Linked DNA regions of Arabidopsis thaliana. The protein of the gene in region 2 interacts with the protein of the main gene of each other region in a pairwise test. Each region holds a gene or a part of one and is shown on either strand. Other genes may lie near its edges.

Region 1 (7,893 bases), on a different chromosome or scaffold from region 2:
TTATTAAGTAAAGAGTATAACATTTTTTTTTTCCCCGGGAAGCAATCAATATTTACAAATATGTCCCTATCTCTACGTTATTTTTTCACCGTGGAAATTAAGAAAACAAAAACAAAACCTATTGGGCTTTTAATTGCTTTTTCCTCTTCCGACCAACTCTTTTATCGGCCCACGAGCCCATTTGAACTATAACTTCATCTTCCACTCTCCTTGCTTCTCTCTCCCATACTAAACGCTGCGTTTTACGGTCACTGAATTTCTCCAACACCCAATCCCTAAGCCCAATATCGCTCACCTCACAGAATCTCTCAGCCCAATCAGTTGGTTCAACGGGTCGGGTCCCTAAACCAGGTGCCCGATCTTTCGACCCGACATTCTCTTCGTTTTGCCAATCCGCCACATAAGTCGCTACTCTCCTTTTAAACTTCTCCTTAAAAATATCCCAAACCTGATATTTATAATGGTTAATTACCATCGTACTCTTATCCACGTCAACAAACGCGAATTCTTCTTTTAAGTGAAAATGATGAACGACGTTTATTAGCGTTGCGTTTAGCGATTCCGGTCTAATTATGCTTTTATGTCTCTCCGGTAACGCCATACGACATGTGTACGCCGCTGTGACTCCGCTGCGCGGTGGATCTCTAAGTCCCGACGGTCCAAAACTGTGACACGGCGTTCGAATTTCACCGATCTCGCCGGACGATGATGGTGTTGTCGTGTGATTTCTGATTACGTTGGTTAGAGTTTGACCAGAGGGGATGTAGAAGAACTCGTCGACGTCGATAAACGCGACCCAATCGCAATCGCTCTTTGCTCGAATCGCGCAATTTGCGAATCCTGCTTCCTGAGTTTTGATCCACGGCCAAAAATGTCTCGAGATGTTGTAACCGCGATTTTCTAGATTCTTGATCTCGGAAACAATGTCGTCGTCGCTGTTGTTGTCGTAGATGAACCACCGTTGAACGCCGATTCCGGCGTGATACATCACCCATTCTCGTAAAACGTTTGCTGCGTTTCGCGTCATGGTGCAAACACACGTTTCAAACGTTTTCGAGACTTTGATCCGACCCGGACGTTTAATTGGATGAGCTACAGAAGGAAGCATCCCACTTCCTTTGATCCTCACAGAAACTTTCACCGGTTGAGATTGGGCCCTTCTTGGGCCGTCTAATACTGTCAGTGGCGTTTTACAACGTACGATCTCTTGGGCCGCAGAGATAGCTTGTGCTCTAAGCAAAAGTTTGGGCTTTGTGAAATCCCAACCGTATACACACTCATATCTCGACGCGTCAGCAACCTTTCCTGGCCGTAGATTAAGCCCCTTGACAAAAACCACCGTGGAATTGTCGTCGTCGATCACGGCGTCGTACACCAGCCAATCCCATCGGTGTGTGAGCCCTACTTGGAGATTATAATCATCAACCCTCCATCTCGAAACGGCGAGGGATACAGTATTGCCACGAGGCACGGCGGAACACCGTACGATCTGACGGCCATAGTCGTCGGTTTCCACCGCGAAAGGAAGCTCTTTAAAAAGTTTAGACGAATCGTTTACGTCGGAGAAAACGCAAAAGAGGTCCTCTTTCGTAAAAAACCGAGAAGATGGAGGGTATTTTAGGAAAATCAATGTTTGGTCGGGAAACTCAACTGCTTCATGGATCGTGATCACCTTAACCACCGGTACAGAACCACGAAGAACTGCGTTGACCGAAGACCGCACCACCGGTCGAATTTTGCCTGATTTATACAAATATTAATTAGTATTAAGTAATAATAAATAAATTAAAACGGTTGTGATTAATTGTTGGATTAATACCTAAGAAGATGAAGAAAGCAGAGAAGAGAACGAAGGAGAAGACGAACAAAGAAACAAATCGGAAAAATCTTCTCCATGAAACAACGACGTCGACACTGCTTAAACCACCGCGTTTCCTACGGTTCTTCATTTTTTACACCGCCGAAAACGGCGGCGATGGCTGAGAATTAAATCCAAAGGAAAAAAGTAATTAGACGAAGCAAAATATTTTAGTTCTTTCTTAGTCTTTCTTTGTTGCAGGCTACGAAGATTTTAGGACGATAAAAATTTTCTGAAGGAATAGAATATAATCTATTTTTACCTTTTTAAAATTCTCTGATAAAGAAAAAAAGACAAATAAATATGGGGTTTAGGTTTTGCCTTTTTTAATTTGTGTGTTTCTTTAGGAATTTTAAACTTTCTTCCTCGGTGCTCAAAGACGTTTCATGGAAATTTACGAACTTTGATGTAGAAGACGTTTCATGACCGCTTATTGTGCTAAATCAACCGGTTCGACAGGTTTATCTATCTGTATTTCCTTAGAAAAACCAATAAAATATCTAAAACTCTTTGGTATTATTGTCACAAATACTTATACAAGCTCAATAATACAATACTATGTAGTAATTATCCACGTTATAGTACCGTATAGTGTGATCTGTCGTAGTAATTTTCATCCTAATTAAGAATGTTTTTAATTTTTCGATAAAACATTCGAAGAGTGTTTAAAATATGCAGGAACATGTATGAGATTTGCCCAAAAGAAGAAAAAAAGCAAAAGAAAAGTTAGGATACCTTGCTTGTTATATTTCACGTCATTATTTATTTACCTATTTTAAGTGCTTTGAATTTATCCACTTTGTTTTTTTGTTTATCGTTGAAGTTGAGATTGAAAGAGACGAGGCTATGATTCGATTAGTGTCCTGACTTTGAGTGATATTGGACTTATACTGGGAAAAAGTAGGTTCCACTTATCTCCTTTTTTTTCTTCACGTCATCTCTAACGTCTATCCCACGTTGTCGTTTTGGTTCTTCCAAAGATATCTGTTTTGTAATTTGGCCCAAAAGGCCTTTCATCAAACGGCCCAATTGATAAAATGATCGAGATAATCATGGTTGATCAAGACTCAAAAGTCTAAACCAAATAATTAAGAATGATACTAACAAATATGAAAAATGAAATTAAGTTGAACCTTTGAAATGTTTTAGAAATGTTAAATGCGATTGTACCGCTCTAGTTGCAGTAAACACTATTGAATTCTAAGTAACAATATTGGTGTAAGTAGTGATATAATTGTAAGGGATGTTGCAAAATGCACTAATCTGATCCTAATTGTAATCATCTTGCAAAGAAAAAAAATGTACTCTCTCTCAGCCGCCATTAAAGCTAAAGCTTGATATGGTTAGAAGGGTTTCTTCTTCAGACCATTGTGTCTAATACGCTTCAAATCTTGAGATCTTCTCTTTAATCCTCTACAGATTAGTAAAACGTAAGAACAATGAGTTCATGAGGGCCTTTTTCGGTTTTAGAGTTGTAAGGAAATCTGAAACAGTATTTTAATGTTGTTGTTACCTTCGGAACAAATAGACAAAGCTGTAATAGAGAAGAAGCACTACCAAAACGATGATGGAGAAAATAATGTACACTATACTCCTCTTCTGCAAAACATATGACTGAGATTAAATGAGATATGATATGATATAATATCATTTACAAAAAAAGGGTTTATTATGTTACCTTTGGTTTTTGAGATAAGGGCTTTGATCCTCCTGAACATGTATGTGCATCGCAGAACTGACGCAAGAAGAAATCTGCAGTTTTAAAAGTTAAAACCCCCAAAAAAGGGTGGTGAATCTCTATGGATCATTAAAACCCCCCACGAAGAAGTCTACAATTGTAAAGTTTAAACCCCAAAAGTAGTGGTGAATCTTTATGGATCAATACAAGCAAAAACTGTTGAAATAAGATAGTAAAATTCAGGAAGGTTCTAATACCGTGAAGACGGTTGGCTGATGAACCTTTATTTACCGGAAAACAACTATTAGCCAAACTCTGCAATGCAACCACACCAGAGCAGATAAGCACGGGAACACAAGAAACAGAACGAAGACAATATGTTCAGAAGTGTTCAAATCTTTCAGTGAAATGTTCTTTGCAATTCTCAGAAGCTACAAGGTTTCTTTGAGTATTAGAGTCCAAACTTGTCATATGATATTGACCGAATCAAAACTAAAAAAATATGTACCTCACATAAGTGCCGGTTTTTTGCAGCAGCTGCAGGATTACACTTGGACTTAAGCCGAGCTGTGTCTACAACAAGATCACAATGCAACGCTCCACAAAGATCCGACAGACATTTACCATGACTCTGGATTCAAAAGCACATAAGTTATGAATCGCTAATAGACCCCAAAACAGTATGAATTGTCACAGAAAGATGGATCATTTTAACAATAATGCATCAGTATATACCGCATTAAGTAAATTGTAATGGCGCGAATCGAAATGCTTATCGAGATACTTCTCTTCATAAAAAGCCTTTTTGCAGAATCCACAACGCCACTCATTAATATCTGAACGCAATTTGTGCTCTTCTTGTTCTCTATAAATGTCATTGTCTCGATGAACTCTACAAGTACTCGGTAACTGATACCGCTCCTTTTCCACATACGGCATGAGATACTTCACAGCAACAACAAAGATCAATGAGAAAACTCTACAGATTTGCATAAAAAATAATAAAAACCACTGCTTTCAATTCATACCTCTTGAATGATTTTCCAAGCAACTCTGCTACGTTCTCTTGAACAATGAATCTCATGAAAACCGTCTTCAGGATCTTTAAAACCCTGTAGAACAACAACCACAAAGCTTCAAAATTTGAACAAAATCTAGAATTCTAAGTAAATCCCAAGTAAGCCAAATCGATTACAAACCCTAAAGTGATACAGACATTCTTCTACACGAAATTTACAGTTGAAATTGCTGAAAAACCCTAAAAATTTCACCTCGAGATTTTGTTGAATTATCGAAGTGGGAAGTGAGAATCCCCAAAACTGAGAAGAGATGAAGAAGCAGAGGAGAATCCAATGAGATGGGCATTGAGAATTCGATCTTCCCATCTTCGCTCACACCAAAAACAATCAAAGAAGATGATTTCAAATTTTGGTGTAATATATGAAAAATGAAACTTTAAGGGTTAAGAAAGAAAAATAGTTTGGGGTTATTTTCAAAACATAAGAATTTATAGGTGGTGTTATTGAATATTAGTCTTTAATGGATTTGGATGTTTTTTGTATTCAAGGAAAAAATCCAATGTTATTTAATTTCACTAAAAAATATGAAGATACAATAATGAATTTTTTTTGTACACATTTGGTTAGAATTCATTCAAACCTTTAAATGCTTTAAACTATTTTCTCTTCAATTGATTTTTTAATCTTTTTTTGAATAATGGACTATACCCTTTTCCAAAACTTCTAAATATTTTGAAAGGCCACCAAATGTTGGATTTTTAAATAATTATTTAAGGCTTTACTCTGAAATTTTCACTATTACTTTGTCAATTTTTTTTTTAATTCTATAATGAATAAAATCTTTGAAATTTAGAAATATGAATTAAAAAAAACGAACCAAAACTTCAACTTGGTTTTGGTTAATCTCTAAAGAAGGAGAAAGAATTAAAGTTTCAACGATGACAAATAATCTAATACATTTTGTTTATGAGATATAAAAGCGATGATAAAATCTTTTGTTTGACCAAAAAAAGTTTTAAAGTAAAACGCTAAAAGAGTTAATATACATTTTTGTTTATTTTTATGGGAGAGAAGCAATCAATATTTTCAGCTATATGATTAAATAATTGTTGGATGCAAAGGAAGAAAAGTAGTTGCTTTTGTGATGGGTTGAAGTGTAATGTATTCATTCTAACAACATCACTTTTGTAACTCAAAGCTGTTTTATTTGGAGTTACAAAAGTACACCTACCGTTACATAAACCAACGCTAATCACTTACTAATTAGTTTTCCCTAATAAATCGTATTTATTTCTTCTTCTTTCTTTTTTGGCTACTTTTCTCCAAACTTATCTACAATTTTATTTCTTTAGTCTTTCTAATGACTCTAATATTCACACCCTAAATCAGATTCATTTTTTTAACCAAAAAAAATCAAATGTAAGCATATAAGTACTAATATAAAGTTTTTTTTAATAGAAAATCAGATTCATTTTTTTTAGTTAAAACAACTAAAATAGTTTTTAAACGCGTTGATATATCTAAAAATTAAAAAAAAAAATTACTCAGAATTCAGTTTAAATTACAGAGTTTTTTTTCCCAAAAAGCATTTCACATTTTAATATTTCATCACCAGAAAAAATTCGTTTTCTCTCTTGTTGCAATTCTCAGCCACTTCATATCAACAACTATAGCAGAATCATTCATTCTTGTTAGACTTCTTTGATACATAATTTATTCTCAGTTTCTCAAATTCCTATCAAATTTTCAAATAAAAACTCAAAATTGAGTATCTTCTTTATTTAAAAAGATATTCTGAGTTTTATCTGTTTCGTGGGACCCAGATCTCAACCAAAGTTCTTCAGATCGTCTCCTAAAACATGTGTTTAGGGCTGACAAATAAAAGTTTTTAAAATTCGAAAAAATTCTTTTATAGCCGTTTCGGTGAGAAAACCCATTAAAACGCTTCGATTTTTATTTATTTCCTTTTGAGATTCCAACGAAGAAGTTCTCGATTTTGAGGTTTTGTGGCCAATGGCTGAATCTGCTGTTCTGTTTCATTCCTATTCGTTCGCAGCTCCTCCTTCTCGTAATGAATCTCATGAGGTTAGTTTCATTCTCTCTATGATTCCTGGGAAAATTCGATGGTTTCTGGGAGATTTTGAATGTAAAGTTTCAAACTTTAGGGTTTAGCTTGATAGATATGAATCTTGATGTTGATTTTACTCAAAGTATCTGAATTGGGTTTGATTGGAAACAGTTTGATTCACCAGAAAGTTTATAACTTTGGTTTTGAGTTTTGGTAAGATTCTGATTTTGATATGTTGGATTGTTGCAGGATAATACGATGCATGCGCTTAGTCAATCAGTTTCATTTGGTAGATTCATGACAGAGAATCTTGAATGGGGGAAATGGTCAAGTTTTTCGCATAAGAAGTATGTCGATGAAGCTGAGAAGTTCTCTCAGCCTGGATCTGTTGCTCAGAAGAAAGCTTTCTTTGAAGCTCATTACAAGAAAATAGCTGAAGCAAAGAAAGCAAAAGCTTCAGATCAATCATCTGATTCTGACCCTAAACAAGAACCAGAAAGTGTTGCGGTGTTGCTTAACACTTTGGAGACATTGACTAAGGATGAGGTTAAGGAAGAAGAGGGTGATGAAACTGAGTTAGTCTTGAGTAGTAGTGAAGAGTTGGTGTTGAGTATTGAGAAAGATGATGAGCCAGTAAGAACAAATGTTGCGGTTTTGGAACAAGAAGATGATTTGCAGGTTATTCATGATGATAAAGAGAAAGATAATCACTCTGAGGATGGAGAGTTGGTGAAGAAGAGTTGTTTCGTTGGAGAGAAAGAAGAAGAGAGAAAATCCGTAACCAAGAACTCATCGGTGGTTAGATTGTCTATAGAGAAATCAGCAACTTCTGAAACTCCGGACAAAGCAATGGAGCTTGTTTTCTCACTGAAAATAAGGTAACAAAAGCAGCTTTGATTGTTTTGTCTAGAATTTGTCCTCCATCTGATTGTTTTATGTTGTAATTTTGCAGTGGAAAACCGATAACTCATAGTTCGTTGACGAAAAGCGAAAAACCAGTTCGTCCTAGATTCGGTTTCTTGAGGTAAGACTGATTTGTTATCTCTTCTTGAGTCAATGTGTATTTGAGTTGATGTTCCTATCCTAATTGTATACTGTTGTTGTGATGTAGCTGTTTGATGGGAAACACTAAAACTCAAGATCAAAAGCTGACTATAAAGAAGGTAAGATTTCGACTTTTAACAAAATCATGAGAAGAAGCCTTTTCTCATTTCCATTAGTAATATGAATACTGACACTAGCTGTGTTTATTCAGCAGAGAAAGACGAGT
Region 2 (6,603 bases):
CCTTTCACCTGATCTGACGTTGAACGTTTTCCCTACAAAACCAAATCAAACGTAATTAAGGTGTAGAGGTCAACTTGAGATATTGTGATGATAGAGTGTTAGAGTTCTAGTGAATCTTTTTAACAAACTAAGCGACAAAGCATACTTGTGGACTTTTTCCTTAACAAAAAAAAAAGAAGAAGAAGAGGAAGAAATTAAAAGCAAGAGTAATTAGGGTTTTGACCTGGATGAACTCTAAAGGGAGAAGAGAGCGGAGAGACGCGTAGAGAGAAGCCATTTCTTGTCTCCTTCGTTTCTCAATTTCTTTATGTACTAACTTCTCCATGTTTTCTTCGTTATTACAAACTCTCGGCGTTTTACTACGCCTTCTTTTCTTCTCCTGAAAATTATTCATCTAGAAGTCGTTATACGTTAATTATTTTGAACAACGATTCTTCTTGTAATTATGATTATAATAATGATGATGATGATGAGACAGAAGGATCTGATCTTGTGCTCTGGGATTTGCTCTAGTCAGGGATTTGTTGTAAAGTTGAATAATATGGGAGTCGGAAAAAAAAAAGATATGGGAGTCGGAAAAAAGATAGTAAAAGGGTTTGGTTATAATATTAAAAACTAAGAGAAAAAAATACTAAGTTATTGGTAGACGTATCGGAAAAAGATGGAGAGAGAGGTTTGTTAGGGTAAGCAATGACGTCTTTCTGCTTCATCATTAATTTCTTCTCTTTTTAATAGGTTCCCTTCAACATTCCATATCTTAATATTTATCATTTTTAAAGTATTCTTTAGAGATCGTACAATTTATATGTTTATTTTCTTATTGTATACACATACTATATGATATATCAATTGTACGACGATCTACTATATATCCTAGATATCTCTGACATAGGTACCATATAATTATTTTTATATATACTATAGACTGCAAGGCCATATGCTGGATCGTATTCCTAAAAATCATTGAATAGCACTTTAAATTATGAGAAAATATGATTTATTTTATGTTATAAAATATATAGGAAATAATGTACTATAGTTTATAAGAATTAGTTACTGCTCTTTTTTTGTCAACTGGTATTGTATTAAGAGACGATTGTTTGATACAACACATACCCACCAAAGAGGTGAAAGAGCCAGACATATGAAAATGAAACAACATCCTCAACCTTTACTCAAGCCATACTACCATCAAAACTCAAATTTAATCAGAACACAAAGCCCTTTCCTCAGCAAATACACCATCGATCGAGCCAAGTAGGATGACTAACCGCCACATACGATTGTAACATGCACTCGTATAAGCAATGATATAAGTCATTGTTTCTAGTCGAAAGCAAATGATTTTTGTTGTTGTTATTATTTAAAATATTGAAAAACACTTAAAATGAAAAACAAACCAACATTCTATAACGCCTTGCATTTATTCATTAAAAACTGTTGCATTTTCAATTTGTTTTCTAAACATTACAACAACTTTTTGAAAAAATGCAGAATACTATGTTTTATGAAATGTTATAAGGGATTTCTTAATCCGAAAATAATTAAGTAGTAGTAAATATTTTAAACTGTTTATGTATGATTTTTTTTTTAATAATTGAGTTTCATCTGAATCTGATACATTTAAAAATAAAAAGCATGCATGTTCCAAATATCTAGTATTTTTAAAAAACTGGGCCAAATTATGGATAGACCATACTCTATATAAGGGCCAAATAATAATAAGAAGAAAAATTCAATAAATCTTGGTGATTTTAAGTAGAAACGAATAAGAAAAATCGAAGATGGCCCATGTCCATATATAAAGAACACAAACTGCTGACTCCTAACGTGACCCAATTTGGTATCTTCATTTCATTTAACTCGATTGGAAGTGGTTTGTTAACTGATTAGGCCCATAGGATTTGTGTGACCTTTAAATGACTTTTGGAGGTGGAAAAAGTTTTAGCCTTTTCTTTCTGCTAATAATCCAATCCCGAGCAACTCCGATTTGAAGAAGTGTTGTATGACATATTGACATCGAAGTATAAACGTGTAAAAAAAAAATCAATGTCAATAATGCGTGTGAAACTATAGAAAGAGAAATTGGAAAGTATAGTGAAATTGAATCAAAGTTCCTAAAACTAGCGGTGTAACACTTGAATAATAATAATCAAAATGATTCCTAAATTAGTCAACGGCGCTGCTTCCTCGTTGTCTTTAATGGTGGCGATGGTGAGAACTCACTAGGCAACTCTGGTAGATTCACTTCTCCTTTAAGCATTCCCAAGACCTCTTTCATTGACGGTCGTGAAATCGGTAATCTTTGCAGACACAACAAAGCCACCTTTATGCACAACACTGCTTGTTCTTGGTCTAAGTTTTGCAACTTTTGATCCACAAGATCAACAAGTTTTCCTCTTCTCGCCAACTTCCTCGCCCAAGACATGAGGTTTGCCCGTTGTATCTCACTCGCGGAGCCCGTCATCTCCAACGGGCGCCTCCCGGAAATCAGAACTAACAACAGAACACCGTAGCTATAGACATCACATTTCTCTGACACGTTGTTGTCCAAGTTACAGTACTCAGGAGCTGCATAGCACACAGTCCCTCTCATGCTCGGCGTGCTACTAATTCCGCAGCTCTTAGCTATCTCACCGCTCACCGAGTCATGGCTATTTCCCCTTGCTCTCAACCATCGTTCACCACTTAACCCATCTAACCACCAATCTATGCTGCTACCACTACCACTACCACGCCGCCATTGACTCACACTACTACTCCCATCATCACTACAAAACTCGGCTTCTAAAGTCATCTTCTTCTTCTTCTTCCTTTTCTTAGCGAGTTCTCTACGATACTCATCTTTCCACCACTCTCTAACCATCCTCCGCTTCTTCTTCTTCTTATTCTCATCCTCTTCCTCCAATGACAACCACCAATCTAGTCTCTTGCTAGTCTTCTTCTCAAGTTTCTTACTTGACGAAGAAGACAAAGCTGCCGCCTCAATCCAATCACTTCTGCTTGGTCTCTCCTTCTTTACCTCTGAACCAATCCATTGCATTACATACTCTTTCACTCTCCCTCTTTCAACATTGCTCTCCTGCTTCCACCACCAATCTTTGCTCTCACTCTCTTTCCCCTTCTTCATCACCACAACACTACCACCATCCTCATCCGTTTTCTCTCCCATTTCCGGAGAAACAGAGACAACCGTCGTCGCCTCAGGAGAAGCACTCACAGACCCAGGAACCTTAGCAACACTCTCCGGAGACTGATCAACCAACCCAAAGTTAAAATCTTCATAACCAGTCACAGTAGTTACCACACTCTCTACTTCTTCAACCATAGATCCATCACCATCACGCTCCGGAGCTACACTAATCTCCACTTGCTCTGCTTTCAACCTAGCCAAACCAAAATCAGCGATTTTGGCAGAGAAGAGACTATCTAATAGAACATTGCTAGGCTTAATATCACCATGAATCACAGGTGGTTCAAGACTATGAAGATGCTTAATCCCATCGGCAATGTTAACGGCAACCAAAAACCTCCGATTCCAATCCATAAGCTCAGGGCATCTCCGGTGAAGCAAGGCGTCTTGGAGATTACCATTGTCCATAAGCTTGTAAACAAGAAGCAAACGTCGTCGTTTTCGATCATGAGAGAAACCAATAACAGGGACAACGTGAGGCGAGTCAAGCTTGGCGGCGAAGAACAACTCGTTCTGAAACTCACCTTCTCCTTGAAGAGATCCTGAATCCATTACTTTAACAGCTACATTCTCGCCGCCGGAGATAGTTCCACGAAACACGACGCCAAATCCGCCCTGACCTAGTCTATTCGCCTGCGAGAAAGAACCGGTGGCGCGACGGAGAGACGAATATGAAAACTCACGTGGCGACGGTCTCCGAGGCGAAGAGGAAGCGTTTTCCGCCGGAGGTGATGAACGTTTCCGGCTGAATTTACAGAAACAGACGGAGAGAGTGATGAAAAGAGAGAAACCGGCGCCGGCTCCAGCCACCACGAACGGTGGAAAGATTCGCGTTGTCTTATTCTGATGTCCTGACGGCGCTGCTGGGACTAAAGAGGAAACGATCGGAGCCGGAGCAAGAACCGGAACCGGTGCCGAGATTGATCGTGACGGCATAGAGATTTAGTAAACCGAAGCTGAACCATACACAGAGGAGATTTTCAAAGACAAATTGTTGCTTTTTGTGTTTGTTTCAGTTTTTAGACTAAAATCGGAAAAGAGAGAAAACGTTTTGAGCTGTTGCGGAAATGGAAAATAAATTTCTATACATTTAATTGATCATTGATTAAATCATTACATCATGGTTTATAACGTGTTAAGGTTGCGAATTTTGATTGGTTAAACCGAATGAATACTAATCCAAAGTCCAAACACACAGACAAATCCAAAACCTGTTATTCTTTCTATATCAAACAAGAACCATAGAAAGAATAACTGACCAATATTTTATTTATTTATCGTTTTTTGAATGAGAAAACTCAAATTCAAATTCAGACGAAGCCAAAACATATACCCGGATAATGAAACCGGAACCGGGTTAGACCCACGTGAAGATTTAAATGCTAGACTGTTGTTGCGTGGCTTTTTGATAGACAATAAATAATTTAATTAGTAACGCGTTTAGGTGTAATTTGATAATGAAACTAAACAAGGTATTCCAAATTCACGTGCGGTGGTGGGGAGGCCATCAAAGATCACCATGTGGAATTGTCTAATTTGGTATTTTACTTGAAACTAATTAATTACTCCTTAAGATAGTGAAAACGGCACGCAACTCTTTTCTGTATTTAGAAAACGAACCGACGTTTTAGAAACTACCAGGAAGCTGCTGTTGTCTAAATTATCATCAAGTTGGATTAGTTATTTATTTGGTTTGTCTTTTTTTTCTTACATTAGTCAACGTTTTTCTTTATTGGATTTATGACTGTTCGAAGAGGATTAAACACGTCTTCTCAGTTTCCTTATTATGAAATATCTCTCAGCGTTTCTATTGTAACTTTTCCTTTCTTAGTTATATGAGGAAAGGAAAATCAATAACTTGCAATAAGAATCGTTAGCAAACACTTATCGAACGTAGATGACTATTACAAAAGAGGAAACACTTACCGAATTGTATTAAAAAAGGGAAACTTAATTGCACTACACAATTCCAGAAGAACTAAGAACAATAGACATCCTCTATATATTTAGATTTTAGAGTCATTGATAGAGCTCACACAAAATATTGAATTATATTGACTCTCATATAACAACTATCGCAAGAAGTAGAAGAAAGAAGATGGTGAACGAAACAGAAGCATTACCATGCGAGGGAGGCTGTGGACTCTACGGCACCCGAGTGAACAACAATCTATGCTCTCTCTGCTACAAAAAGAGTGTTCTTCAACACTCGCCCGCTTTAAGATTCGAACCCGAGACCGAGCAATCACAGTGTTGCCCTCCTACGAATAGTCCCGCCGTTGAAGAAGAACCGGTCAAAAAAAGGAGATGTGGGATATGTAAGAGGAAGGTAGGAATGTTGGGATTCAAGTGTAGATGTGGACACATGTTTTGCGGGTCACATCGTTATCCGGAGGAGCATTCTTGTCCCTTTGATTACAAACAATCTGGACGGCTCGCCTTGGCCACACAGTTGCCTTTGATCAGAGCTGACAAGTTGCAGAGGTTTTAGTGATATGTGTCGTAGATGTTTAGATTCCTTGGCTAAGATTTTGATGTTGTTAAATTCTTTGTACCAGTAATAATATAAGTTCTTTTAGCTAAACAAAACACCCTGAACTGAAGAGAGATTCAAAACAAGCAAGCCATCTTTCCATTTCAATGGTCAATTAAATTAACCAAAAATTCACAAGCTAGAAACAAAACTGAACTTTGTCAAAACTTTATTGTCACGACTCACTGATCAAACCCTAAACAAAACGTATCGGCTCTGTATCACACTGCAAAAACTTGTGAACATGAAATCCATAATATCACAACAAATCATTAAAACGCTTGTTTATACATATGCTTGGATTAACTACAAATTGGATTCGTGATTTCAAATGCGTTTTATGTATATTATAATCTTATGAGCTTAGACGAATAAGGTCATCGGTTTGTTTCCTGTCTACATAATAAGGTTATAGTTAGAAGAATGATGATCACTTGACCACTTAACTACATTTAGTGTGTAGTTTCTGTATCCAGCCTAATAATTCCGTTTAGTGTGTAGTTTTCAGTATTGAGCCTAAAATGTATGTTTAAGACTCAGCACAAACACTTGCTGACGTGTGGTTACTTACTAGCATTATTGCTAATACCATGTCAAAACTTTTCAGAGATCAACAGATAGATCCCCTATCGCATCAGCTTTCAGAGCGATAGGGGCTCTTATCCCGAATGCTTGTATTCGTGTCTAGAGAAGTTTGAGTTGATAGACTACGGTGGAAGAGAAGAAGAGAAGAATTAGTGGAATATATCCCAAGCATATCCAGGTGTTTAAAGACGGTGACAATCTATTTCAAAATCCACCTTACAACCTGAAATCAAGGAGATGATGATGGAGAAGCTTGAATCTATGGATAGGTTTTCTGAAGCATGTCAGCTTT

Evidence for each region.
Region 1: the proteins of SAP10 (region 2) and AT5G40710 interact in a two-hybrid assay, tested with the Arabidopsis thaliana proteins (one large-scale study listed by BioGRID).

The regions. Positions count from the first base shown.
Region 1 is NC_003076.8:16,292,119-16,300,011, reverse strand, and holds AT5G40710 (zinc finger (C2H2 type) family protein), read right to left. Parts: upstream 5,046-7,893; 5' UTR 4,922-5,045; coding exon 4,808-4,921; intron 4,649-4,807; coding exon 4,565-4,648; intron 4,482-4,564; coding exon 4,272-4,481; intron 4,168-4,271; coding exon 4,045-4,167; intron 3,852-4,044; coding exon 3,794-3,851; coding exon of another isoform or gene 3,666-3,793; exon of another isoform or gene 3,611-3,665; coding exon 3,537-3,610; intron 3,458-3,536; coding exon 3,372-3,457; intron 3,272-3,371; coding exon 3,202-3,271; 3' UTR 2,968-3,201; downstream 1-2,967. Other genes in the region: AT5G40720 (C3H4 type zinc finger protein (DUF23)), read right to left, coding at 119-1,740, 1,820-1,949; AT5G40700 (transcriptional regulator ATRX-like protein), read left to right, coding at 6,569-6,640, 6,873-7,501, 7,576-7,647, 7,735-7,786, 7,879-7,893.
Region 2 is NC_003075.7:12,975,017-12,981,619, reverse strand, and holds SAP10 (stress-associated protein 10), read left to right. Parts: upstream 1-4,981; 5' UTR 4,982-5,291; coding exon 5,292-5,684; 3' UTR 5,685-5,772; downstream 5,773-6,603. Other genes in the region: AT4G25400 (basic helix-loop-helix (bHLH) DNA-binding superfamily protein), read right to left, coding at 1-32, 224-394; AT4G25390 (Protein kinase superfamily protein), read right to left, coding at 2,174-4,129. UniProt on the Arabidopsis thaliana protein: May be involved in environmental stress response.